2 linked regions of the Alligator mississippiensis genome follow. The protein of the gene in region 1 purifies or fractionates together with the protein of each later gene. This does not show direct contact. Links are inferred from orthologs where the notes say so. Each region holds a gene or a part of one and is shown on either strand. Other genes may lie near its edges. The genes, in order: ANAPC13 and ANAPC7.

Region 1 (12,062 bases):
GCTTTCTGCCTTGGTGGTTTGCTGACTCAGATGCATGCAGTGAGATAGATGATTGTAATGCATGGAAAATGTAAAATAAATAAGTAATGTCACAGGGCAAGTATTTCATCACTTGTTTGAAATCTTCCTCTGACAGTTAGGCCCAAATGAGTAGCTATACAATTTCAGATTTTTAAATATGGCAATCTGCTGCGTATCTTTTTAATTGTCTAGAAAGTAACAAAATAAATGCTCTCCCTTGAAGCTGAAATCAAAGTGGCTATGTGGGAAAACTGGCAAGCGTTCACAGCCTGCGCTTTTGTGAAAGAAAATAGATGAACACACAACTAGGGAAAATAAGTTATGGTTTGACTGAGGTTTTGTTTTACTTATTAATAGTACCTACTGTGTTTTGCCATAACTGTACAATTTCTAGTGTGCATATGTTATTCTGAATGAAACCGCCAGAGCAGGATTCTCCCTTCTGAGTCATGGGCTCCCTAGCACGAGACAAGACAAAAGGACCTTCTCAAAATCTAAAATTTGTTTCAATTAGGACCCAATCCCAAGCGTACTGGAGTCACTGGAAGCCTTCATGGTTTACTGGAGTTTGGATCAAGCATTAAGGGAAGCAGTAGTTAGCACCATATTTAGGACCCTTCAGTCAGTCCCTTCTTGATGTTGTTGAGTGAAAAAGTCTTCTGAAGAAGCTGTGCTGGATTTTCAACCTGTTCATAGACGATCATATTTCAGGTGACAGGAGGTCCATCCCCAGGCTGCATACTTATGCTATGAACTAAAAATCACTGCTAGTTGGGTAAGTATCAGCATGAAAATAGATCTTGAGCTCACCAGAACAGAGTACCTCTGGAAGGCCTTTACTCAGTTCATTTAAGGCTGTATGAAATCCAAAAATGAATGGGGTTTATGTGGGGAGGGTGTGTGTTTGAAGAGTAACAGGATATGCAGGTATCCAATGGAAAGGGGCTGCAAAGATCCTGGTGTACTTCAGAGTTCATGATAGATCAAAAATAGTTGCTAACAGACCTAGGAGAAATCAGTTCCTCCCCTCCACTCCCCTTGCTGGCAGAATGGTAAGGGAATAGAGAAAGGGCAAGTCCTTGGGACTCCCTCACTCCAGCTGAGAGATGAGGAAAGGGGAAGTGTAGTGGCCCTTAGCACTGGATGCAGTTGGGGATAAGGGGAGCCACTTTTTCAACTAGCTCTTGACTGGTGATACTACATGCCTCTGGGGAAAGGGAAAGATGTCAAAGATAAGATCTATGGGCCAGATCCAGCCCATGGAGCCACATCATCTGGCTCCCATCCCCATGGTGGATCCAGCTCCTGCTCCAACCAGTTCAGAACAGGTACCACTTGTGGCACAGTTCCAGAATGCCAGAGCAAGGGCTGGAACAGCCATGCTGGAAGCAGCAGTGCTCCACTGGATCCCCTGCATGCCAGATCTGGCACTTGCTCTGGCTGGTCAAGGATCTGTGCTGCATGGAACAAGCACCATGGACCGCACAAAGCAGATGCTGGATCCAACATGTGGTGGGGAGGGTCCATCATGTGGTGGGGAGGGTCCAAGACAGTTCACAGGCTGACCCCTGGCAGTTTACCCAGTCCATGAACCAGTCCCATGCCATTCACCTGGCCCACAGGGACAGATAAGTTGGCACCTGTGTCCTGAAGGGAAGCTGCCTTGTCGTGTAGGTACCTTTATGAGCAAAGAGACTACCAATACAGATGTGTTCAAGTGCACAATTTAAGGGGCACCTCTGGCATGGATTGTATTTCAATACTGGGATCACATAACAGATGCTTCTATGCGTCATAACCCAATGATTCTTAGTGCCTCGGCACATTGGAATTTTCCCGCCACATGGAGCTTTCTTCGCGCGGTGGATTTCTCAGCTGCAGAGAGAAATCCCTGGTGCAAAAGAGTTCCTGCCACATGCATGCAAATTAGTGTCCCACTATTGGTCAATTCTAAATTATTCCTACGTGGCGGCTAGCAATTGGCTCGCTAGCCGTACAAAAGGTTAGAGCAGTTTCCGCCCAAGTTGGAGGACTCCACAACCATCTCGTGGGGAACTCTGAGCGTGCTGTGGAGCCTAGCAAACTCTGCGTGTGCCTTGGAGGAGGACATAGAGGCCTGATCAGCTCTTAGCCACTCCCCGTCATAGTGAAAATTTGACGTATCCCCCGTGTAAAGCGCTCGTGGAGTCATACATCGACGACTCATCTCGGTTCGGTGTGGTTCGGAAGAGATCTCACTTGTGTTTGTTTGTGTGCAACTGCAACTCAAGCAAGTTTCCTCCCTGCACTGTGACCATCGGCAGTGTAAGTAAAGCTTTCTTTGTAAAACCAATACGCTTCCGTGCCTAACTCTACTCCGTCGTGGAAAAACCCCATCTGACGGTCCAGGCTACTGGCCATAGCCTTAGACCGACCCTTGGTCCCGACACCATGATCACACCATTTTAGTAATAATTACAGTGATTGTTTACATGGAAAAGTACTCTTAGGAAAACACTGAATGCATTTTAGCAGCTGGGAATGAAAAGTAGCCAACAGTACTTAAATGCTAACTCTCCACACACTGCCAACACAAGGCTGCTTATCCGAGACCCACAGACCCCAGTCTGGCAAACTGCTTCAAACACAACCAGCACTATAATAAAATGTAGTTTGATAAAAGAGCATCACTTGTGCTTGCCCCTAACCCCAAACAGAGGCAGGGGATGGGAAGAAGCATTGCACCCTCCAAAGAGGCTGACAACTGACTAAGAGCAAGAGGAGAGGTTTCCTCCTTCCAAGGAGTCAAACAGCTGTGGGATGAAAGCATTTGTACCCCCACCTGTGGAGGGGGAAGAGAAGGGAGGAAGTGGGGGAGTGAATCCCATGTTCTTGCCACACACAAAACAAAGGGGAAGCTGAACAGAGCGGTATAAGAGTATTTCTGGTACAAAGTGGTGGTGTTGCAAGGATCATTTGCTTAGAAGGGGTTAAGAAATTTGGAAATGCAAGGACTCAAGATCAGGCTGTTAATTCAGTGCACAGCGGTCACCTACCAGGGGTATTGCCACATCCTCATATGGTAACTTGTCTTCCCTCCAGGCATCGTCAATCAGATCCAGGATTCTCCCGTCCCTCTGCACCTCACTGTCCATCAGTGCGCAGCCAGCCCGCAATCACGCAACACCTGCGAAACAAAAAGGACGTCATTCGCAATGGCCCAAACCCTCTAGAGTGGTACCTTGGGGGTTGTTTTAATTCCTGTTGAGAAAAGCCACTCAGGAGATCTTGGCTCTTGCATTCACATATGCATCATATGGTTTGGGGTGGTTTTGTTTTTTTTTTGAAATTCCATGTCTCAGGCCAAATCAACTCCAAATTCTATTGACTGAGCAGAGCTCAACTGTTCAGGTCCATGTGGTGCTACCACTGGCAAGTATCCTACCTCCCAAACTCTTCAGCCTGGGGCTTAGGATACTCCCAAACCCATGGCAGGCATCCTACATGCAAGCCCCAAGGCCTTGGGGTTTACATGCCCCCTAGTCTTGCTTGCCCCTAGCCAAAAAGCTGAAAGAACAAGCTAGGGGCATGCGCAGTGTCAGTGGCGCCTTTTTGTCAGCGGTGCTTGGGGGCGGTCGTCACTCGCCACCCTGCCGCTGCCTGCGAGCAGTCAGTGATCCCCGCTGTCTACTGCTGATGCTGCCGGTGGCATCTGTGGGTGATTGCCGACCTCTGGTCGGCGCTTGCCCCCCCCCCCCCCCCCCGCCAGTGCTGGCAGCATCTGCAGGAGCTCCCCACTCACCACTGACATACTCCCACCACCGCCGTGCCCCCCCAAGAGCAATCCTCAGTCATCAGCATAAACTGTGTAGGTGAGATCCTCCCATTAGGAGGCATCTGTAGAGTCTTGCAATGCAAGGGGCAGACCTTCACTCTCTAACTCAAGAGTTGGCCAAAATACAGCCCACTGGCCAGATCCAACCAACCAGTTGACTGGATCTAGCCAGCGACTGCCCCTGTGGAGCTCTGCATGGGGCCAAGCCCAGCCCAGGCTGCGCTCCTGACTCTGTCTGCAGGCCCCAGCCCGTGTGCACAGCTTCTGGCAGAGTGGCTCCTGGTGCAGCTGCAGCCCCATGGGTGCTGCTCAGCTCACCTCCAGCAGCAGCTTTTGCTCCTGCTCCTGCCCGTGGCGCTGCTTCCAGCCAGGGGAAATGGCAGCCGAGCGGGTGGAGCAGGTAAAAGGTGGCTGGGAGCTACAAGAGCCCCATGTGCTGGGGTAGGACCCACCGGCTGAAGCTTCCCCCACCTGTAGCAGCACACCAGGGGCAAGAGGAGCTGCCTCTAGAGGTGAGGGGAGCTCAGTTGAGCAGTGGGGCCCAGCAGGAAGCAGATGCCCATCCTTCTCCCGAATACAGCTCCCCGCCTATGGCCCCATCCCACAGTGGGGGCATGTCTACATGAGACGCTTAATGCACATTAGCTTAATACCACCACGCAGTAGTATGTCACGGCACAAACCATGCTAATACCCCACTGCCAGTAACTGTAGATACTGTGTGTTCAGTTAGTCCAAAATTAAGTAATAAATTCACAGGATCTGAGGCACATTAATGAACGTGGATGTGCCCACAGAGTTTGGGTGGGTTGCTGCGTGGACCCAGCACACAACAGCTCTTCACACCTCCCTATGTGGCCCCCAGGCCCAAATAATTACATAGTCTGGCTCTAACTACCCCGGGCCTCTCAGGGACAAAAAGACAGGGGTCCTTCTGCAGTGCGCTGAGGGGCTCGAGGAGTCCCTGCACAGGGTCAGGACCAGGGAGAATGAGTAGAGTGTTTCTCCTCTCCCAGGCTCGCCTCAAGCAGACCATCACCCCCCAGCAGAGCCGTCCAGGTTCTGAGCACATGCCCCCACCTCAGAGCCCAGGGAGGGCACTGCGCATGCTCCTATCAGCGCACATGCGCATTATCGACCTACCTTCGCGCCGGGGGGGGGGGTCCTCCGCGCCTCAGGATTAGGGCAGAGTGCCTGCTTCTCAAGATCAGGGCGGGGACCCGAGCCGCAGTCTCACAGCCGGCAGTGCGCATGCTCCGGCTCCCACACATGCGCACTACGCAGCCAGCCTTGCACTTTTGGGGCCTATGTCCCTTCCCTACCGGTGAGAGAAGCGCTCCATTCCTTCCCCCCAGCGCCAGCTCCGCACGACCCCTCCCGCGCGCTCACCCCTTCGCTCCTCCGCAGGCCTTCACGTGACTGGCCGCTCTGAGCCGCGCGAACTATAGAGAGGAAGCCGGGCCCTCCAGCAGCACCGCCGCGGGTAACGGCTTGCCGGACCGGGACGCCCCTTCCCCTTGCATTGCGCATGCGCAAGCCTGGCCCCGCCTCCTTCGCGCTGGGTGACCCAAGGCGAGTCAGGCGGCGTAGTGACGGTGCCTCAGTTTCCCTGTGCCGCTCCGGGCCCAGAGGCCCTTCGCTTCGGCGGGCGGGAAGGCGGCCCCTGCCCCGCGCTGTCTGCGACCCTGGGGCTGGCCCGGCCCGGCCCGGCCCGGCCCAGGCCAGCGCGTCCGGGTGCCGAGCCCCACTGGGCCCCTGGTTTGCCCCCCTTAGGCCGGCGGGGCCCCTGGCCCGTGCTGCACCCGGCGGCGGAGGGGGGCGCTGCCCCGGGGAGGCGGCATCCAGGGGCATCTCCAAACCCCACCCCGTGTCGGGTCCGAGGCGCAGGGGATGCCGCTCCTGCCCGCCTGCCTTTTCAGCAGCTGCTCGGGGGCTCGTTTGCCCCCTTCAGCACCACTCACCACCTCACCCTTAGCCTCCCTCACGCAGGGAGGCAGCAGAGAAGGGGGGCAGTTGATTGCTGGGGACAAATAATAGGAAAACGGACAGGAGTGAAGGTCAAAGGGCCGGAACAAGAGTGCCAAAGGCGGGACGCCGAGTAGAGCTCACTGGACAGTCCCTGCTGGCCCCCCAACTAGTCCAAGGAGCCAGTGGGCACTGCCCGGTGATACTCAGCTCGGAGACGGGTGAAGACGGGCCTGCAGTCCCGGGGACCCTCCTGGCCACAGCCTCCTTTCTGGTCAAGCATCACTGACAAAGCACAGGCTGCGTTGTCTCCGCGGTTCCTGCTATCAGGCAGCGATGGGAGATAGGGTAGCATGTGCTGGGACCCACGGGGAGCTCTGCGGGCTGAATGACACAGGTCTGCAGGGCATGTCTTGGCTGTTGGCTGGGCACTGAGCACCACAGAAGTTGTGGGCTCGAAAATACAAGTGTCTTTAAACTTACATATTAAATACTCTGTAAATAAGGGATTTTTTATTGATACTTGTAACTCCTAATGTTAAAGCCCTTTGGAAAGTATCGGTGGTACTGGATCCTTCAAGGATTAGAAAGAAATGGCCAGAGACTTCCAGTATAATGTATGGTGATAAACCAACAGGTGCCACCCTTGGCAGCAAGGCATTTTCTGGCCATCCTGGTTGAGGGGACTGGTCAGGAGTTGCTTCTGCAGCGATAGACTTGCTCTGTCCTTGGAGTCCACCCTGAAAGTTCCGATGTGTTGTAACCGCGTGGTTTCACGACTTGCTGGGAAAGGGTTGCGGGTTCCCTTCTGTCTTTATTGACCCCATTGCTGAACTGGCTTGCTGCCTCTGTGCTCTTTTTACCTTACAGTTAGATGTCCCGAAACAAGAACAGCTGGTGCCATTGAGCCATCTGGATCTTTTCTCCAATTTCAGTCTTGGTAACTCTTTTGTTCCTTGTCCATCCCAATCAGGAGGCATCACAGCTTAGTGTTCAGAACAGTGTGACCCTATCTTGCACCTTTTTCACATAGGCCCTGGATCAGGAAGATGCCCGCGTATGTGTTTAAGCTTGATTTTGCTGGGACTATTTCTGCTTAAAATTAGACTCCTGTTCAAGCACCCTGTTCAGTGTCATGACCTTAACTCTGACTGCTTTAGTTGCTGCTGTTTAGTGTATATAAAACATTCATTCTTAGCTTCATACCATCTGCAAGCTTGAAATGGCACTCTCTCATGGTTCAGAGGAGATCAGCTAGTAAAATCAAATCAAATGGTAAAAATGAAAAGAAAACATGCAATGTAATACGGAATGATGTAATCTAAAAGTCCCAGTGTTGTGTTACTTTCCAGAGCTGGAAACACCTGTGCCAAGACAAAATGAAAACTTTAGGTATCAGTGAACTTTGTGAAGCGTGAATCCCAAAGCAGTCTCTGCAGGGAGGGTGGGGAGCAATTCTTGACATAGTTAAATAAACACAGTATGTCTTATTGTAGGCTGTTTAACTGTGACGGTAGGGCTTCTGGCCTTTCCTGTTTAATTTAATTGTTTTCAAGAAATGTCTACAGAGCCATTTATTTTAAAAATTAGGAACTTGGGAATTTTGCAAGCTCTTGTGATTGGACTTGAGGAAAACAATATTATGTTACACAATAGCAGCCTTTATGGCTACCTATTTTAATATTAAATTCAGGGCCTGACTTGGATACTGTGACTGCAGTATCTATTGCTCACTGTGGAGCTGTGCTTCAGGATCTGAGATGTCATTTAAAGGAAAACAGTATTGAACCATTTTGGTTGGAAGTCTGATTGAGGTACAGCATGTCAGGGCATGAGGGAATTTGTATTTTCTGAGAGATAATTGAATGAACTGGGATTAGGCTGGTAAAGGAAAAAGCTGTGAGAGGTGAGGGCATGGGGTGGAGTTCTGCCAGGTGGCTGCTTTGGTCGTGTATGTGAAAAAAGCTGGAGGGTCTGTGTAAGGAGCAGGGCTGAGCCTGCAACCCAACTGCAGGTAGTCAGCAGTTACGAGTGCAGGAAGGGTGACAGCAGCTGCAGCTAATGAGGGATTTGAGGTGGAGCCACAAAAAGGCTTCAAATATCCAGGCACAGATTGGAAAAAAGCAAAAAGAGGGGAGATGTGGTGCTTGGGTAGAAGCAGTGAGTCTGTGTTAACTCCTCCCAGGGTCTGAAAAAGACCACAGCCTTTTGGGTTTTGTTTGTTCATTTGTTTGCTGTTTGTACACTTGCTTCTTTTATTGGGTTTCCTTTACTGTGGGGACAAGGTTGTTCTGGTAAAATAAGTAGTCTGGAAATCTGACCACTGAGCTGACTGGCTTCTATAAGGAAGGTGGGTGAATGATGACTTGAGGCTCTAGCTGTGGGGGTGGGGTTGATTCGCAGAAATTTAGAGCTGGAAGGGACCTTATGAGATCATCGGGTCCAGCCCCCCCCATGATCGTCTCATTAGTAACACTTCTGCAAGGTCTGAGGGTGGGTAAGAAGATGTATGTAGAAGTCCTGCTCTGTCCAGGTGAAAGGGGGGGATGGGATTGCTTGGGGAAGTTGTGAGCTCAAGAATACAAGTGTCTTTAAACTTGCATATTAAAAAAAAAATCCCTTATTTACAGAGTATTTATTGACACTTGTAATTCCTAATGTTAAAGCCCTTTGGAAGGTATCAATGCAACTGGATCCTTCAAGGATTAGAAAGAAATGACCATACTGACTTCCAGTATAATGTATGGTGATAAAGCAACCGAGTTTTAAGACCTACTGAGAGTGATGCTTCTGTTGTTGTTCTTCATAACTCAGCTGTTCTGAGGTTGAGGGGCTCTGTTTGGCTAAAGGCAGATTCAAACTGAAAATGTGATGAAGGTAGTCAAACAAATGGTTTTCGTGTTGGCTGTGACCTTTTAGAGCAAATAAGCCATCAAGAATAGTGCTTTATCTGTCAGGTTGTAGAAACAGTGACATAGGCCTGGAAGGGTGGCTTGGCTCGGAAGAGAATATATTATTTTAAAAAGCGGGCTTGCTTTAACCCTTTCCTTACTGGCTACTAGAGTCCAGTGAAGAATTCCCTGGAGTACATTGGCAAAAGATGCACTATTTGGCATTTGACTTAACTGTTGTGTGGTCTACATCTTTAAATTGGTGTGACGGTTATACTTTATGAGATCTTAATTTGACAGAAATCCTTGGGCCCCAACTATGTCCTTGCCCCCCTCATTAATATATATTTACGTTTATAGCTGAAGACTTAGTCTATTTACCACTGCCAGCAGCCTCAGTCATTTTTAAGCCAAAAGTCCCACCAAGCAGTCCTTTCCCGAGGCAATTGTACCCATCTAGATACTTCTATTATCACCAGTATCTCCCTTGACGTTCATCAGGGTTTTCCAGCATTGCCGTTACTTCTCGTCAGATGTGGCACTTACTTCAGCATGGCTTTTGCTATCAGTGTTGCTGCCAGAGCATTGGTTAGGTTGGAGCATACCCGACGCTGGTGTCATGCTGATGTGGCTGCTCGTATCTGCAGGAAAGTGTCAAGGAAAGAAAAGCTCAGAAGTGAACTGGTGCTTATTGAGTTTGTCTGGTTTACTTGTCGGGCTCAAAACTGATACTGCTGCATGATCTTTCCCAGGTGCCAAACTGGCATTGCAAAGATATCTGTAAGAACTAGTGATGAGAGAACAGTGAAAGGTTTGGCATTTGGAGAAGCATCTTATATCACTGAAGACTGCACAACTTTCCTGTACAACAGAACCATTCTGCCCTTGGCTATTTTCCTGAAGGGTTCCTCTTGTGTGGCCTCTGATAAATGGCCTGTAGTATAAGTAAGTACAAAATACCCTATTCTTTGGCAACTTCAGAGGGTCTCTCTCTCTCTCTCTCTCTTCTTCCCTGCCTGCCCCCAGGGAAGCATGAATTTTTTCTCCTGGAGATGCCTTAGTTTCTTCTGTTTCCAATCTTTGGTGTTCTTTCCTTTTAGCTCTCTCATCTTCCTTTCCCCATTCCTCAGTGACAGACCAGCCCTCTCCACTGCAGTTTTAATTATCAGGGAGGGGAGTTGGTATTGCCATCAGATTGCCTTCACGGGTGGGAGTCTAGAGAGAGTGCTCTTGGTTGCTTTCTCTACCTCTTTCTCCACTTCACACCTGGAGATGGGAGAAGAGGACAAGTCAGCTCTCTGCCTCCATGCTCATGAGCATTCACGGTTAGCATCCATTATTAAATTGACCAACCTCAGGCAGGAACAACCAACAGTCCTGGTACGTTGGCCATTGTTATTCTATCTAGAATTGTCCAATCCAAATCAGGCCACCTGGCTGGTGCGTGGAACTGGCAAGAGAGAGGTACTTACCTTGGGCAATAGAATATCAGGGAGCTTAGGGAAGGTGGAGCTGGATATTTTTCAGTGTGAGTACAAATTATCCCACCATTTCTTATTGCAGGGTTCTTAACGTTTTTGTTGGAAACAGCTTGTGCTGGCCTCTGTCCCAAACAAGATGGATGCTGGGGCTGCTCTAGTCCAGCAGTTTCTGTGTCTCTTTACAGTTCTGCACTGTCCTATGCTCTTGAGGATAAAAATCCCCCCAGCCCCAGTATGGCCTGACCCATTCAATTAACCAGCTTACTAAAGTTCACAGCCTGACTACATATTTCACATCCACTGTTTGAATCATTGTGTTTGCTGGATCACATAATTGCATCAGCTAAGCTGATGGTAATCAATAAGCAATGGTCCTGATTTTCTTGTTCTGACTGATTTCTTTATTTTTTATATCTCTGGCCAACATTTGGCCTGCAAGTCTCTTGAAGAAGACTCTGCAACTCTTTTGCCCCTTCCTACACATACCCTGTAAATTGCATAATTTTTCACCTCCTTCTCCCCACTCCAGACTTCTACAGCCCACTGGAGAGCATGTTATCAAGTGCTGCAGCCTGACCCCCACTTCGCTTGCTTTTCTAGCTGCTATAGAGGACCACGTTTGTGATGGAGGCTTTGCTAGAGGGAATGCAAAAGCAAGGGCGTGGTGGGTACGTATGCAGCTGTTTGCAATAGTCTCCTCTCAACTAAAGAAACACCTGTATTAGTTTAAGTTCAGATGTTGTAGTCCTTCAGTTCTTTCCTTACTCAGCCAAACCTTTATCTACACAGGGTTTTATGCTTGAGTAAAGCCTTCAGGATGTAGTTAGTGGGGCTTGATATATTGTGCCACTGTTTTTTGTTTTTTCTTATTGGAGCAGGAGCAGACCTGTAGTGAATTGCTTTTCCAGAAGTCTCTGGCTACCAGCCTTCATAGTTTTAATAGTTGGCATATCTGTACTTTCAGCTTTCTGAATAATTGTCATTTCCTGTTATATTTACAGCCTTCTTACAAGCTCTTTTGACACTAAGTGCCATTGTAGTGAAATACATAAAAGCAGCATGGTTCCGCTCTGCAGATCTGCTCCAATCTGTTTGCTTTCCTAGCTGAAATAAGTCCTACTGCTTCTTGCTCCTGCTGGCATTGTAGGGACTATCCAGTGGCAGGAGTGCAAGCTGTATTCCTTTTTGGCTTGCGTGTTATCAGCAGAACTGTTAAATGTCTTCCAGCTACTGAATCTTTAATGCTAGAGTCAGGCTAAAATACATACAGCTTTGAGAGCCTAGGCTGAATCTACAATTCAAAAAAAGGAAGAAAAAGTAGAGTTTTACCTAGTAATTGAGGAAATTTGAGCTGGAAGTCACTCTTCTGCTTGTATTCCATCTCTGTGTGAGACCCTTTTGGTAATCCCTTTTCAGAACTTGCCCAATCCTTAAAGATGGCAAATACCATCTCTTCCTTGCATAACTAGCTTCAGAACCTAAACATGAATCTTATTATACAGTTCCTGCAAACAAAATAAATGTACTTGCCATAGTTCCTGCTTAATTTTTGGTCACTTTGCAGGACAGGGTGAACATCAAATTTAATAGTGAGGTTGGCTCCTTTAAGAGCGTATTTTCTTTCCCTATAGAAAAACTGTCAAGTTGTGAAGTGTGCAGCCACTCTGGGGAAACAGAGAAATTTCAATCCTTTAACCTATTGATTTCCATTTCTTTTCAGTCCTTCCTGTTTGACAGGCAAATTAAAGGGGTAAAGATCAGCATGGAGTTCACTGCTCTCTGGGGCTGTATCTTGCAATACTTAATAGTGTCCCTAGCTGAGCAACTTGTGAAGTTTCAGAGAAGTTAGTTGAATTGGCTTCACTGATTACTGCACCAAATTCGCAATCC
Region 2 (12,830 bases), on another chromosome or scaffold:
ATCACGGCAAAAATGGACAAAACAAAGCTGCTTGCTTTACTTGGGCAAGTACAAAGCTTGAACTCATTGCTGTTCAAGTGGTGAGTGGCTGTAGCCTGTGCTCCTTCGTGCAAATAAAGGCACGTTAGTCATATGGGGCATGACCACAGCACTACCGCTGCTATCAAATCTTTGCTGAGAACTGGGATAAGTTATCTGTAGCATCATATTTCGTAAGGATTTTATTTTTCTACAGACTAGTGAAAAGAAACAGTGGAATTTTTACTGTGCATCTCGGCCAGTCCTGTACACCTGCATCTTGGTTAACTTTCCCTCTCTTTCTTGTTAGCAAAGGACACAGATATTATTGATGAAGCAATCTACTACTTCAAAGCAAATGTCTTCTTCAAAAATTATGAAATTAAGGTAAGAAATGTACCTTTAAGGTATTGTGCACATTTGTGGAGGCTGGGACTTGACTTAAACATAGAACTGTTTCACTGCAGCACTTGTGACCCCCTTGAGAGTTTATATCTTTTTGTGTATGGTAAAAATGCAAAGAAACAATTGTTTTCCTTTCTAAAAGAAGTTGGGTGAGGAAACTCCTCAGGAGTGCTGTCAGTGCATCTCTGTGAGAGACTAGGGACTGAGCATGTTAGTCTTGCTCCTGGCAACTGTAAAGTCCTCCCCTGGTCTAATGGTGGCTTGTGCCTGCTTTTTATTTTGCAGAATGAGGCCGACAGAACCTTGATCTACATAACTCTCTACATTTCCGAGTGCTTGAAAAAGCTGCAGAAGGTAAGATCCCAGAGCTAAGCTGGAGGAGGGCAATAAAATAAATGACAACAAAAACGTGCCTGATCTGCTGGTTGCCCTAAAGCAGCTGGAAAACTTGCATAAGCAGAAATGCTGCTGGCTAGCAGTTAGTGCCTGGACACCAAATGTTCACCACCCTTCTCGGCTATGGGTTAGTTAGGATTATCTTCTCTATAAAAATGGTAATTGGCTGGGCAAAGCCTTAATGAATGGTAGGAGCTGTGGGGACCAAGTGCTGTGCTCCCCACCCCATCCTGCAGGTGTGGTAATTCTTGAATCTTTAGTATTCTGACATAGGCCGTGTGTCTGCAGGAGGGCCTGCCCGCACTGCGCTGCGCTGCTTTAAGGGGGGAAATGCTCATAGCTTCCTCTTCATTTTAAATCCCTTCCCTGTTGGGCCAAAAGGCAGCGTGAAGTTCTGATGCGATCATCAGTTCTGGTCTCATCAACTCTTCTGACTTCCTTTCTTCAGCTGCTCCTCCCCCTCCCCCCCAACCCATCTGTCCAGAATAACCCTGTTAGTCATCAGTTTCTACCATGGTTTTCTCTGCCTGTTCCTCACCCACATCAAGCCTGAAAGTATTGGGCTCCTCTTCAAGACTCACTGGGGATATTCTACTCTTGCTTTCTTCTGCATGCTGCACTTAGCCTTTGGATATGTCTGTACACACCACAAAGTAAGCCAGAGAGGCTACACATTGGTGTTCGGGCAAGTTACTAGATTTTATGGCTTGTCAAGGCAGTAAAACTTCTGTGGTACAGACTAGCTCAATATACATAAACCATTACAAGCCCTTCGTGTATACGTAGTTATAAACATGCCTTAGAATGTTTCTGCTGGTATTATCTGGATAAAGGAATAAGCTATACTGGTATAAGGCTCCTTTTATATCAGTATAACAGTTCACACTGGGGGTTATACTGGTGCATCTATTAGAAAGTACTTTGTACTACTAACCAAGAAGGGTTTATATCGGTACAGTCTATACGTGCAGCTGGCTTCAGGCCCGACTGCCAGAGCCCCTGGTAGTTCAGAAAACCTTTTGTTTTGTAGTAAGTGCACAGGGCCCCCAAACTGTGTAAAGAAACTTCTCATTTAATCAGGGACAAATACATAAGACACCTTCAGTATTTTCTCCCACGGGTAGTCCCGTATCAATATCCTAGTTAAGCTACATACTTTATATCTAAAGTGGTACAGCTTCTCTCGGTATGTTTGAACTGGTCTCTTTCCTGGCTTTTCCAGTGTAATTCCAAAGGCCAAGGAGAAAAGGAAATGTACACGCTGGGAATCACTAACTTCCCGATACCTGGGGAGCCTGGCTTTCCACTCAATGCCATCTATGCCAAACCTTCCAACAAGCAAGAGGACGGTAAGAACAAAAGCAGCCTTGTCACTTAACTTCAGGCTACAGCATGGATCCAACAGCCTGCTTTATTTCTGTGGCTGTCAAACTGCCTTGTGAATCAGTGGTCCTGCTTTCTCTGTGTACCTGGAGTCTGACTGAGTTTGGGACAGAGTTACTATGCTGTATCCCTGCTAATCCTGTCAAGTGAGCAGCTCTGCTCCAATCCCACAACACGGGAAACTAAACTGTGGTAATTTACCCTGCTGTGCTCAGGACTAAGCAACCCTGGCTCAGCAAGTGTTGAAAACAGAAGGTGATGCTAGGGGTGCAGACATTGCTAATCCACTCTTTAGCCAGCACATCAGATGGCTTTGCTGTTGGCTGCCAGAACTATTCTTAGACAGTATCTAACACTGCACACTCCAATCTGTATTGGTCCATGCTCTCTTCCAGAGGTGATGAGGGCCTACTTACAGCAGCTGAGACAAGAAACTGGACTTAGGCTTTGTGAAAAGGTGTTTGATCCCCAAAGTGACAAACCTAGCAAGGTAAGATGCTGTTCTCACAAACTGGTCAATACATTTTCTTTTTTTTAATCCCAGTTTTTTGGCCTCCATTTTTTTTCCTGATTAGTGGACACTTGGGGAATGTCAGCTTCAGGGGAAAAGAAAATAATTCTGGATTTGCTCCCTAAGGCATGTGTTTGGAGAACGGAAGTCAGAGGCAGCAGGGAGATGGATAGGAGGGTAGCGCCCTGTGATTTAGATGAGTCTGTAAGTGAGATGGTAGCAAAAGCCAGGCTAGGCTGCACAGGCAGAAGCATCCTGTCCAAGAACACAGAGGCAACAGTCTGTTTGTTGGTCAGTCCTGCAAAGTGCTAGGTCCCAGCTGGTCACACTCAACTGCATAGAAGAGAACGCGTCTGGCACTGAGGGTACTTGGCCTCTTCCATAGTGAGCGATGCAGTTCTTCCTGTGTGGGGAAAAGCACTTTGCTAACGGATGTATCGGTTAACGCAGGGATGGGCCATACGGTGGATCTGGCCAGTAGATTTCCCAGTGTTGCTGGGGCCGGTTTCCATGGAGATCTTGGGAGCGGCAGGGCTGTGCCAGTGTGGGGCCAGGGTTTCCATGCAGACGGCCCAAGCAGTGCTGGCAGAGAGCTGCTCCAGGGCTGGGGGTGGGATTTTGCAGTGGTGACAGCGTGGTCCAAACTGGGGCAGAGCCATGATTCACTACCTGCATGCCCCGCTCTGACAGTGGGGGCTGGAGCCAAGGCATCGCCACAAGCTCCTGGCCCTGGAACAGCTCCCTGCCCAGCCACTGCCCTGCCAGTGTTGCTTGGCGGTCTCCATGGAAACCCTGGACCCACTGCTTCTGGGGTCTCCATGGAAACTGGCTGCAGTGAGGCAGTCAGAGGCTGCTGGGAAAAGGGAGTCCACCATGGGTCTGAATGGGCCAGACTTCGCTCATCCCTGAGTTAACTCCTTCCTTTCATTTCTGCCTGCCTTGGTGTGTCGTTTCTGAGAAGAGGTTACAGCCTAGGGTAGATGCATTTTGCATATTTGCTCAGATGCTTAGGCCAGTTTTGAACAGTAACTTCAATATTATTGAGCTAGTTATGTTTCAGAATGAGTGTTGACTGCCTGATGTCTAGAGTCTGGTCCAGAGACTTGTGCATCAAAGGCAAGGAGTCATGTTTTTAAAGCAACTGGTATGGGGCTTTCTTAAATGGCCACTTCTGGGAAAGAAATAACTGAAAAGATTTCAGAGTTTTAAAGACCACGTCCACCCCCCCCAAATACTGCTTAGCTTCCAGATCTAGACTGGAACTGCATGCAGTACACTTTGAGGTGTGTATGTCTCTCCTTTTTTTCCAAATAAGCAAGATACTTGGAAGCTAACATTGAAACAACCACCTTAAAGAGTATTTTAATGCAAGTGTCCCAGTGTTACAATCTGAATTATCCTGTATTGCCTGCCTTGAGTGCCTAAAACTCGTTAAAGCCACTGTTGAAAACTGGATCCCTGGTCTGTGCAGAGTTGGGTTTTTACATAGTGGGTGTCAGGCAGAACACACAAGTCCTGCTTTGTTTACGTAGACTGCTTACTTGGAAACTCCTCTGGTATATCATCTCACTGTGGATTTCTCTCTTAGTGGTGGATCTGCTTTGTGAAGAGACAGTTCATGAATAAGAGCCTGTCAGGTCCAGGACAGTAAAGAAGCAAAGAGGAGTGGCAACAAGGTTAAGCAGTCTACAGCAAGGTGTAAAAAATATTTTGCTTTTGCTTCATACATGTTTTGTACCAAGGAAGAATAAGTGCTTATGAGGGAAAGCTGTCAGTCAATGCGGGGAGGTGGAGCAAAAGGACCCTTGAATCCTGTAAGTGAACAATATTAAGCTGGTGCTTAATAAACAATTTCTAACATGCTGTTTCAGATCAATGCTGCTTTTATTATCAGTTGCCTCATATATAATGTGTCTTACATGTGTCCTGCAGTTACTCTGCTGGCTAGAGTCATTGCCACTTAGGCTGTATTGTAAAGCATGGTGAATTTTACTCCTTTTTCTAATAAACTTAGCTTATTTCACATGATACCTGTTTTATCTCTTATGAACGTGGATAGCTATACAAAAATGAAAGCTTGATTTGTTATGTTTGTGCCAGCAAGCCTCAAGTAAATTTGAGGGTTTGTTTTATAGGAGCTGTAGAAACCTGTGGTAAGAAATGTTTCTTGCCCTGACAAGGTTACTGTCTAAATAACACAGATGGGAAAGGAAGGAGATGCAAGGGTAAATGGCTACCCAGGGTTACACAGGCACAGAGAGTAGAATCCTGGGATAAATTCTCGACGCCACTGAATGCGGCCAGGACTTCCCCCTGAGATCCAGGCCCCTACTTCAGTCGCTGGTCCGTCCTACTTTGGGACTCCAGAGTGCCACCCTTGCACTGGGAAGTCTCTCTCTCTCTCTGTCTCTGCTGGATTAAACACAAGGGATCCTGACCCTGAAGACTTTATTCAGGCCACTTTCTCTTCTGTGAGATGTTTTTCAATAAAGATCATATTGCAGTGAGCACTGTGATGATGCCACCTGCGTGAAGACCGGCGTCATTCTGGGCTGTAAGCTGCCATTGGCTATATAGTTGCATTAGGGCAACCGCTGACATATAGATGTAACTTGTTGTTCTAATTAAGGGAGATTTGCAGAAGACATCGAGTGTTGATCACCTCATAGCATTCTTCTTCTCAGGCAAGTGTTGCGCACTAAACAGGGGTGGAGCAGAAAGGGGAGTGGATGGCTTAGAGCTGGAACACTCAGAAAATAGCGAACAATACTTTGGACTGATAAGCTATTAAAGAAGAACACTTGGATGGGATGTCTACAGCTGGAATATGAAACCATCAGCAGTAAACTGAGTTGCTCAAATTTTGGATTTAAACAAAATCTGAGGTGTCAGGCTTAGCTTCACCTCTTACACTTTCTATCTATTTGAAATATACTGCCTGCTTACATATCAGATTAAAAGCCTGAAGAATTAATTTTGAAAAGTCAAGATTTTTACACTCATGCACTAAAAGCATTCATTCAGTTCTACTGTTGGCAGGAGTCCAATGGCTGCCTCTTGCAATGGGCACTCTTCTGTAGAGCACCCAGTGTGGAAGAAGGATGTTTTAGGAGGATGAAAGATTAAGCAGCTACTGGCGGAGAAGGCTGGTAGAAAGGCTGGAACGGGAAGGGTGGCTGAGGGTATTCTGCACCTCTAAAAAATCAGATCCTGGGTGATTGAAGTCTCAATGCACCCAGTAGTATAGTGCTGCCAGAGGCTCTGTCTTATGCTTAAGTAACCAGTGCTTGGTGCTGTGGCTTTCATACTAAGCCCTTGCAAAATGAAAAGGGAAGTGCTCCTGTAGAAAGCCGAGTAGAACTAATAGTAGGGCTGCAGTTTACAAACCTGTACTCGTTTATCCCAGCTCTTTGTAGCAGGGCCGTGCTCCTCTGCACCAATGCTCGTTCAGCAGTTACCGGCGCCACGCTCCACCCAGCTGCCCCTGCGGTCTCGCCAGCCACAACCCAACGCAGCAGCGCTGATCCTGAACCTCTTCGTTCGGACGGAGGAGACTGAGGATCGGCCCACCCTGGGCGAAGGAAAGAAAGACAAGATCCCCTCTGCGGCACCGGCCACATCTAACTGTCTTGCTGGGTTAAAAGCAGAGATCTACAGCAGTGTTTCCCACCCTTTTCCAGCCCCAGGCTCACTTGCATTAATAACAACTGCCCTGGCACACTTGTTAAGGCATTCCCCTTCCTCATACCTGTTGTAGCTCATTGCCATGACAAAACTCTGCATCTGTTCAGTGCTGATGGCACACTGGTTGGGAAACACCCCTCTGAGTCCTGTTCCACTTCCCCCCAGCCACAGCCGTTGCTCGTTCCTGTCCTCTGTTACTGACTGAGCAGCCGGCCTGAATTCACAAGGGCAGTGCGAGCACAGCTGCCAAAACTGCTGGCGAGCGCCGCACACGCGAGCGAGTCCCACTGCGCACGCGCACGCCGGCCACCAGCTGGCGTCTGCGCACTCCCCCTCCCTCGGCGCATGCGCGATCGGCATTACCCCTGAGGCGTCCTCCTTAGTGCCTGCTTGCAAAACTCCCCATTTGTGCCCGGCCGCGCGGCAAAGGGGGTGGGAGGGAGGTCTCAGTGGCAGGCATCAGCAGGGCGTGAATCCGAGGCGCGGGCACAGGCGCCATCCCCGGACTCCTATATCCTCCTGAGGGCGAGGCCCCCTCGGCGGCGCCATTTTGGAGGCTCGCGACGCCTCAGCCGCCCGGAGCCGCCTCAGCGCCGACATGAGCGTGGTGGAGCACGTGCGGGAGATGGCGGCTGCCGGGCTGCACTCCAACGTGCGCATCCTCAGCGGGCTGCTGCTCACCATGAGCGGCAACAACCCGTGAGTCGCGGGGCGGGGCGGGGCGGGGCGCCCGTTGGCGGTTGACGGTTGGCCGTTGGCGGTTGACAGTTGGCCGCGCCCACCTGTCCGTGCTCCTCCCCCGGGGCTGGATCGTCCCGTGCGCTGTGGGGGTTGCACTCGGAGCGAGGGTCTGGCAGGGAGCCCCCAAAATGATTGAAGGGCTGGGGGAAACCGCTCATCCTGAGAGACTTCTGTTGCCCTTCTCAAAACAGAGGTTGAGCGCGGCCTGGGCTAGTAAGCGAAGCCCTTCAGTGGTAGAAAATCTTGGGTCCAAAAAAACTCCCTTTAACCTAACAGAGAACGGCGTAACAAGAAGCGAGTTGAAGCCGGGCGATTCGAGGTGGGAAGGAGGGACCGATTTTGAACGGGCATGACTAACCTGGCAAAGGAAATCACGCATTTTATCTCTTGATGTCTTCGGATCAAGAACAGAGTTTTTTGAAGATGTTTTAACCGAGATAGTGACGGGTTCAGTACCGCGTGACTGGATAGCAGCGGCAGCGTTGTCTCTAGAGGAGCGGTTTGCGCGCCGTCAGTTTAAAACGATACAAACTTCAGTGCCACCAAAAAAGTTTCAGTTCAGAGTTACGTGGCACCAGCACGTTTTTGTCGTAAAGTCATTATAATAAATCTGTGAACGCGTACCGCTGGTGGTACGTGTACCGCGGTTTGGGAACTGGTGCTGTAGAGGCACAAGTTTGAGCATCGCTCCGGATTTGTACTGATTCTAAAATCCAAGTCCGCTTGCTCTTCAAGAGGATGATTCACAGAGGGTGCGTCTACATGAGATGTTTAACGCGCATTAGACTAATTCTACTGCGCATTAGGGCGGCTGGCAAAAACCATGCTAATGTACAGTAGACATAGTCTAATGTACATTAACGTCACAAAAAAATGTTCATCTGCGCTAATGTGCACTGGCACCGATTACAATGCATTAATACCTATTATTTTATTGCAGGTACTAAATTTAATGCGCCGTAACGACATGCATTAAAGAACATGTAAACGCACCCAGTATTCACCGCTCGGGAGTCATTAAAGACATGCTTAGGGTTGCTAAGGCTGTTCTCGCCTTGGGTTAAAGCACTTGTGAATGAAAGGTGCAAATGTTGCACTCATACGTCTTCCACTTCTGGGTCATAGCTAAGGGCCTCCTTCCTAACACTGAGAACTTAGGTTCTAGCAAATTTGTCCGTATCCTGTCATCAGACAGTTCAGTTAAGCATCACTTTTTTTTTTTCTTCCAGAGAGTTATTCTCCCCTTCTCAAAAGTACCAGCTGCTTGTGTATCATGCAGACTCCCTCTTTCATGACAAGGAGTATAGGAATGCTGTAAGTAAGTATACAATGGCCTTGCAGCAGAAGAAGGCATTAAGTAAAACTTCAAAAGTTAGACCCTCTACTGGGAATGCTGCATCAACTCCACAAAGTCAGGTACTTAGGCTGTTGGTGTGTTCATGTTGTGACATGGGCTGTTGGTGTGTTCATGTTGTGACTTTAGATTATAACATTGCTATACTAAAGTAGCCTGAATTTTTAGACTGTTTAACTACTAATGGCGCTGAACTCATGGAAAAAACATAAGATGGTTACCTGGGGCCAAAATTTTGCTTCTTAAATTTACAGTTTTCATTTAGAAGCTACAAAATAGCCTGAGTTATGCAAGTACAGCTTACCATCTTCCTTGCACTTTATTTATCTTTAATGAAAAATCTGATAGAAAACTTATGATTCAGCCATTTCTTTTCATGTAGTTAAAACAGCATTTGAGAGGTTATATTTTAGCAATCTGTTTTATTTTAGTGTCTGCCATCTGAAATTGAAGTGAAATATAAAATGGCTGAGTGTTACACAATGTTGAAGCAAGATAAAGATGCCATTGCTATCCTGGATGGAATTCCTTCAAGACAAAGAACCCCAAAGGTAAATCCCTGGATGTGTTTCTGGTCTGAGAAGACAGAGGGCAGGGCAGGGTGGCACCTTAAAGAGGGCACGGATACCAGAAAGGCATGATCTTTTGTAAACTACAGCCTACTTCCTCACATGCATCTAACATAGTAGATGTGGGCCGTAGCCAACAAAAGCTTATGCCCATGAACGAGTTATGCTGTAAGTGCCGCCCTGTCATGGTTTCTGTGTACCATCAGACTAAGGCAGCTAACTACCTCTCTCTGCTGAGAGGGTAGTTTGGGTATATTTGGAGCTTAATATTAATTTGGCCAGAATTGCAAATCTAGCTTTGTATATATAAAGACATCAACCCTTGGCACTTGTGGTTGCAACGTCCACATGAGAGATTTGGAAATGCTCCTTCAGTAGTTTATACTAGCTAAGTTCATTTAGCTCATTTCTTTAAAGCAGGAGATCGCAATATGGATTTTATTTGAAAAAAAATCACCTAACTAAAAGGAACTAAACGCTTGTGTGTCTTCCCCAGTTAATTCCTGTGAAAATTAGTGAGTAACTTACTAGTGGGAATTACAAAATCTCTCCTGTGTGAGGAAGAATAGACCCTTTAACTTCTAGTGGTATGTGTCTAACTCATTTAGGACTGAGGATTCTACCAGACTTACAAACATTCTGCTTTTGCCTGGTAGTCTGTTAACAATCCAAAACCTTTCATACCTGGTTTTTACTTTCCTCCAGACAAAGACTAATTGCTGTGCTGGTAAATACCCTAGCTCTGAGTATGGTGATCCTCCCACCAGATTCCTGAATGCTGCTAGGAGGACAGCTTGTGTAGGAAACGAAGTGCTGCTGTCTGTTGTGACCTCAGCAGCGTGTGCTTCTTGAGGCTGAAGAAAATTCCTGGCCTGATGAATAGAAGGGAAAAACCCAGCAACTATGTTCCCTCAAGATTCTTCTCCCCTGGTTTAATGGTAGTTTATGTAGTGCTAAATATTTAGATCACAGCAGCATGCAGAGCCAAAAATGTTGAGTCTTTTGCTTGCTGGCTCTGTCATCTAGTTAATCTCTTGAACCATTAACACCTTGTGCACTTTAACTGAGGTTTGACTGTTAGCATTACATTTTGGCCAGTGTAACTAACTACAAGGTGTCTTGCCATAAGCCAGACTTACTGCACAAAAATGAAAACATTGAGAGGCCAAGCAGTTTCTTCCCCTTGTATGTCAGCAAACCAAAATAACTGTGCCACAAAAGCTAGCTGCAGTGACCTGAATTTAAGCTATTTCCTGAGCAGTTAAGTTATTCAGAACCTAAATAAAAAACCTCCACCTCCCAAAGGTTACAGTTCTGGCAGCCTTTCCTCACTATGTAGAGAAAGCTGGTGAAAGGAAACCAACGTAAGATGCAGCTGTTTGTCAGGTATCACTTCCACATATGTAGATAGTTGCTTATATCAGGATTTAATATATGCAAAACTGAGGTTTTCAGAGGCCTTATGCAACTATAAAAGAATTACCTCAGTTTTTGCCTTCTGAATCAGAAGAAACACTTATTTTACAGGATACAAGGAATTGTAAAGCTGGGTTCATAACTTCTGTATTCTACTTAGAGCTGGAAAGATGGGGCTGTAATGAATCTAGGGCCTTCTCTCAGTGATGAACCTCTGCCCTACATAATTGTAGACTGGATTATCACAGCCAATACTTTTTTTTTTCTTTTTTTTCCCTCTCTCTCTACAGATTAACATGATGTTGGCAAATTTGTACAAGAAGGCAGGTCAGGAACGGTCGTCTGTTACAAGCTATAAAGAAGTGCTGAGGCAGTGTCCTCTAGCGCTTGATGCTATACTAGGTAGAGTTCTTTTTTTCTACCAAATACTTAAATATTTAATCTTAAACAATGTTATTACCGACATGCAGTGCTTGAGACTTAGTAAATGAGCAAATACAATCTAGGAATTATACAGGCAGTTATTTATAATAATCCGTATAAGTTTACAAAGCAATTAAATTGTCATTCTTTAAAACAGTTAGCTAACTTGTATTACCAACTGCATTGGTTACTTGAAACTTGACTGGTGTGTTTTTCTGAATAGGTTTGCTCTCCCTCTCAGTAAAAGGTGCAGAAGTGGCCTCTATGACAATGAATGTAATTCAGAGTATCCCCAACTTGGACTGGCTTTCAGTGTGGATCAAAGCATATGCTTTTGTGCACACTGGAGATAACACCAGAGCAATCAACACCATCTGGTAAGAATCAAGGTGAATTAAAGTGTTCTTGAATCGTTACTCTGCATAGGATGTTAATAGATTTAAACACATTGTTTGACATGGTATGGTGTGAATTTTGTGCTGTGTAGGGCTATACAGTCCCAATCTCTAAACATTCGTTGGATTTTGGCAGATGCCAAACGAAACATCTCAGGTCGGGGAGGGAGGAGGAGAGTGTCCCCCATATTGCAAGAATCTTGATTTGGAAGTCTGTGTAGCAGAAAAGTAATGATATTCTAGACTTACTGCCCAAGTTTGTGGCAAACCTTTTTAAAAGCGAGTTACTGTGAGCCCACCTCCCTAGTGTTTCATGTTACGAACTGTTTAACTTCTTGAACTACATCCAGAAGCAAGTTACTAGTGATGATCTGTAAAGCTTTTAGTGGGTCTAAGATTTGCTTTGATGACACACTGAGGTTTAACATGGCAGCACACACCATCTTAGCAAATGCTGCTTGCTTCTGGCAGCAGGATATTTTGGTAGAGGTCTGCTACCTAAAAAACTTTCTCACTATTCCATTTTGGCAGCCTTCAGCAAGCAGGGTAAGGCGTATGTGTGTTCAAGAAAATCTTGAATGCATTTTTACACAGTGTGCGGGCAGTATTCAATCAGCAAAGGCAGATAGTAGGGCTGTAGTTAAGTGGTACTGTTTTTTTGGTAATCATAGGTCTTTTACTGACTGTCACATCTGTGCTTGTAAAAAACAAAACAAAACATGGTTACTTATTAGAAACAAACTGTAGGCTCCAGGAAGTGCATAGCAGTGAATGGTAAATAACAAGGTACAATGTTAAATGGCCATTTATTTTCTGTTAGCTCATTAGAGAAAAAGTCTTTGCTGAGGGATAACGTGGATCTGTTGGGGAGCTTGGCAGACCTGTACTTCAGAGCTGGAGACAATAAAAATTCAATTCTAAAATTTGAACAGGCACAAATGCTGGACCCTTATCTGATAAAAGGTGAGTAGCTGTAAATCTTTAAGGAATGTTATACTAATGTGTTAACCTTGTAAATATTAGCACAGATGAGAATGCTTATGTACCTGTTCATCTGTATGAAATGTGTATAGTTTCTGAAGAGCTAATAAAAGATACCACCTCTACAACAAGAGTTTTGTCTGCTTATAGTTTCTGAATGTACCTCAAGTAGTTGATGGCAGTCACTTAATGTAAAATAGGAGTTTTGCCTTGTCCATCATTATCCATCATCAGATGGTAGTACCCAAGAAGGTAGAATTGCTATCTACAAAGAAACAAAGTAAGAATTAGTTACTTTAAGAAGCTTGTGGGTTTTCTGCCTTCTGTATAAGCCAGGGATTCCCAGTGTGTAGCCTGTGGGCCATGTTGAGCCTGTGATGTGGCCCACCATGGACTGCCCCTTGGAAATGGTCCTTGGGGGCAGAAACCTTGTAGAAACCTTCATGCTTTAACTTTCTACCAGTTTTTGTTTCCTCCTTTCCCATTAGTTGTATATGAGCATCTATCCCTTTGTCACTTAGTCCCAAAACATGTATGATCAAGGAAGAGTTGAG

The links.
Region 2: the proteins of ANAPC13 (region 1) and ANAPC7 purify together in Homo sapiens (affinity purification with mass spectrometry; 3 studies listed by BioGRID and IntAct, counting the BioPlex papers as one, with this or other methods). This does not show direct contact. The link is inferred for Alligator mississippiensis from reciprocal best matches to the Homo sapiens genes ANAPC13 and ANAPC7.

The regions. Positions count from the first base shown.
Region 1 is NC_081830.1:30,839,827-30,851,888, forward strand, and holds the start of ANAPC13 (anaphase-promoting complex subunit 13), read right to left. Parts: upstream 5,314-12,062; 5' UTR 5,225-5,313; intron 5,160-5,224; exon of another isoform or gene 5,076-5,159; intron 5,066-5,075; exon of another isoform or gene 4,979-5,065; intron 3,188-4,978; 5' UTR 3,156-3,187; coding exon 3,057-3,155; intron 1-3,056. Other genes in the region: CEP63 (centrosomal protein of 63 kDa), read left to right, coding at 10,797-10,840. UniProt on the Homo sapiens protein: Component of the anaphase promoting complex/cyclosome (APC/C), a cell cycle-regulated E3 ubiquitin ligase that controls progression through mitosis and the G1 phase of the cell cycle.
Region 2 is NC_081833.1:2,203,395-2,216,224, forward strand, and holds the start of ANAPC7 (anaphase-promoting complex subunit 7), read left to right. Parts: upstream 1-6,924; 5' UTR 6,925-6,995; coding exon 6,996-7,096; intron 7,097-7,506; exon of another isoform or gene 7,507-7,876; coding exon of another isoform or gene 7,877-7,890; intron 7,891-8,367; coding exon 8,368-8,554; intron 8,555-8,923; coding exon 8,924-9,043; intron 9,044-10,767; coding exon 10,768-10,879; intron 10,880-11,123; coding exon 11,124-11,277; intron 11,278-12,115; coding exon 12,116-12,258; intron 12,259-12,830. Other genes in the region: ARPC3 (actin-related protein 2/3 complex subunit 3), read left to right, coding at 329-405, 709-777, 2,042-2,168, 2,598-2,692, 4,302-4,364. UniProt on the Homo sapiens protein: Component of the anaphase promoting complex/cyclosome (APC/C), a cell cycle-regulated E3 ubiquitin ligase that controls progression through mitosis and the G1 phase of the cell cycle.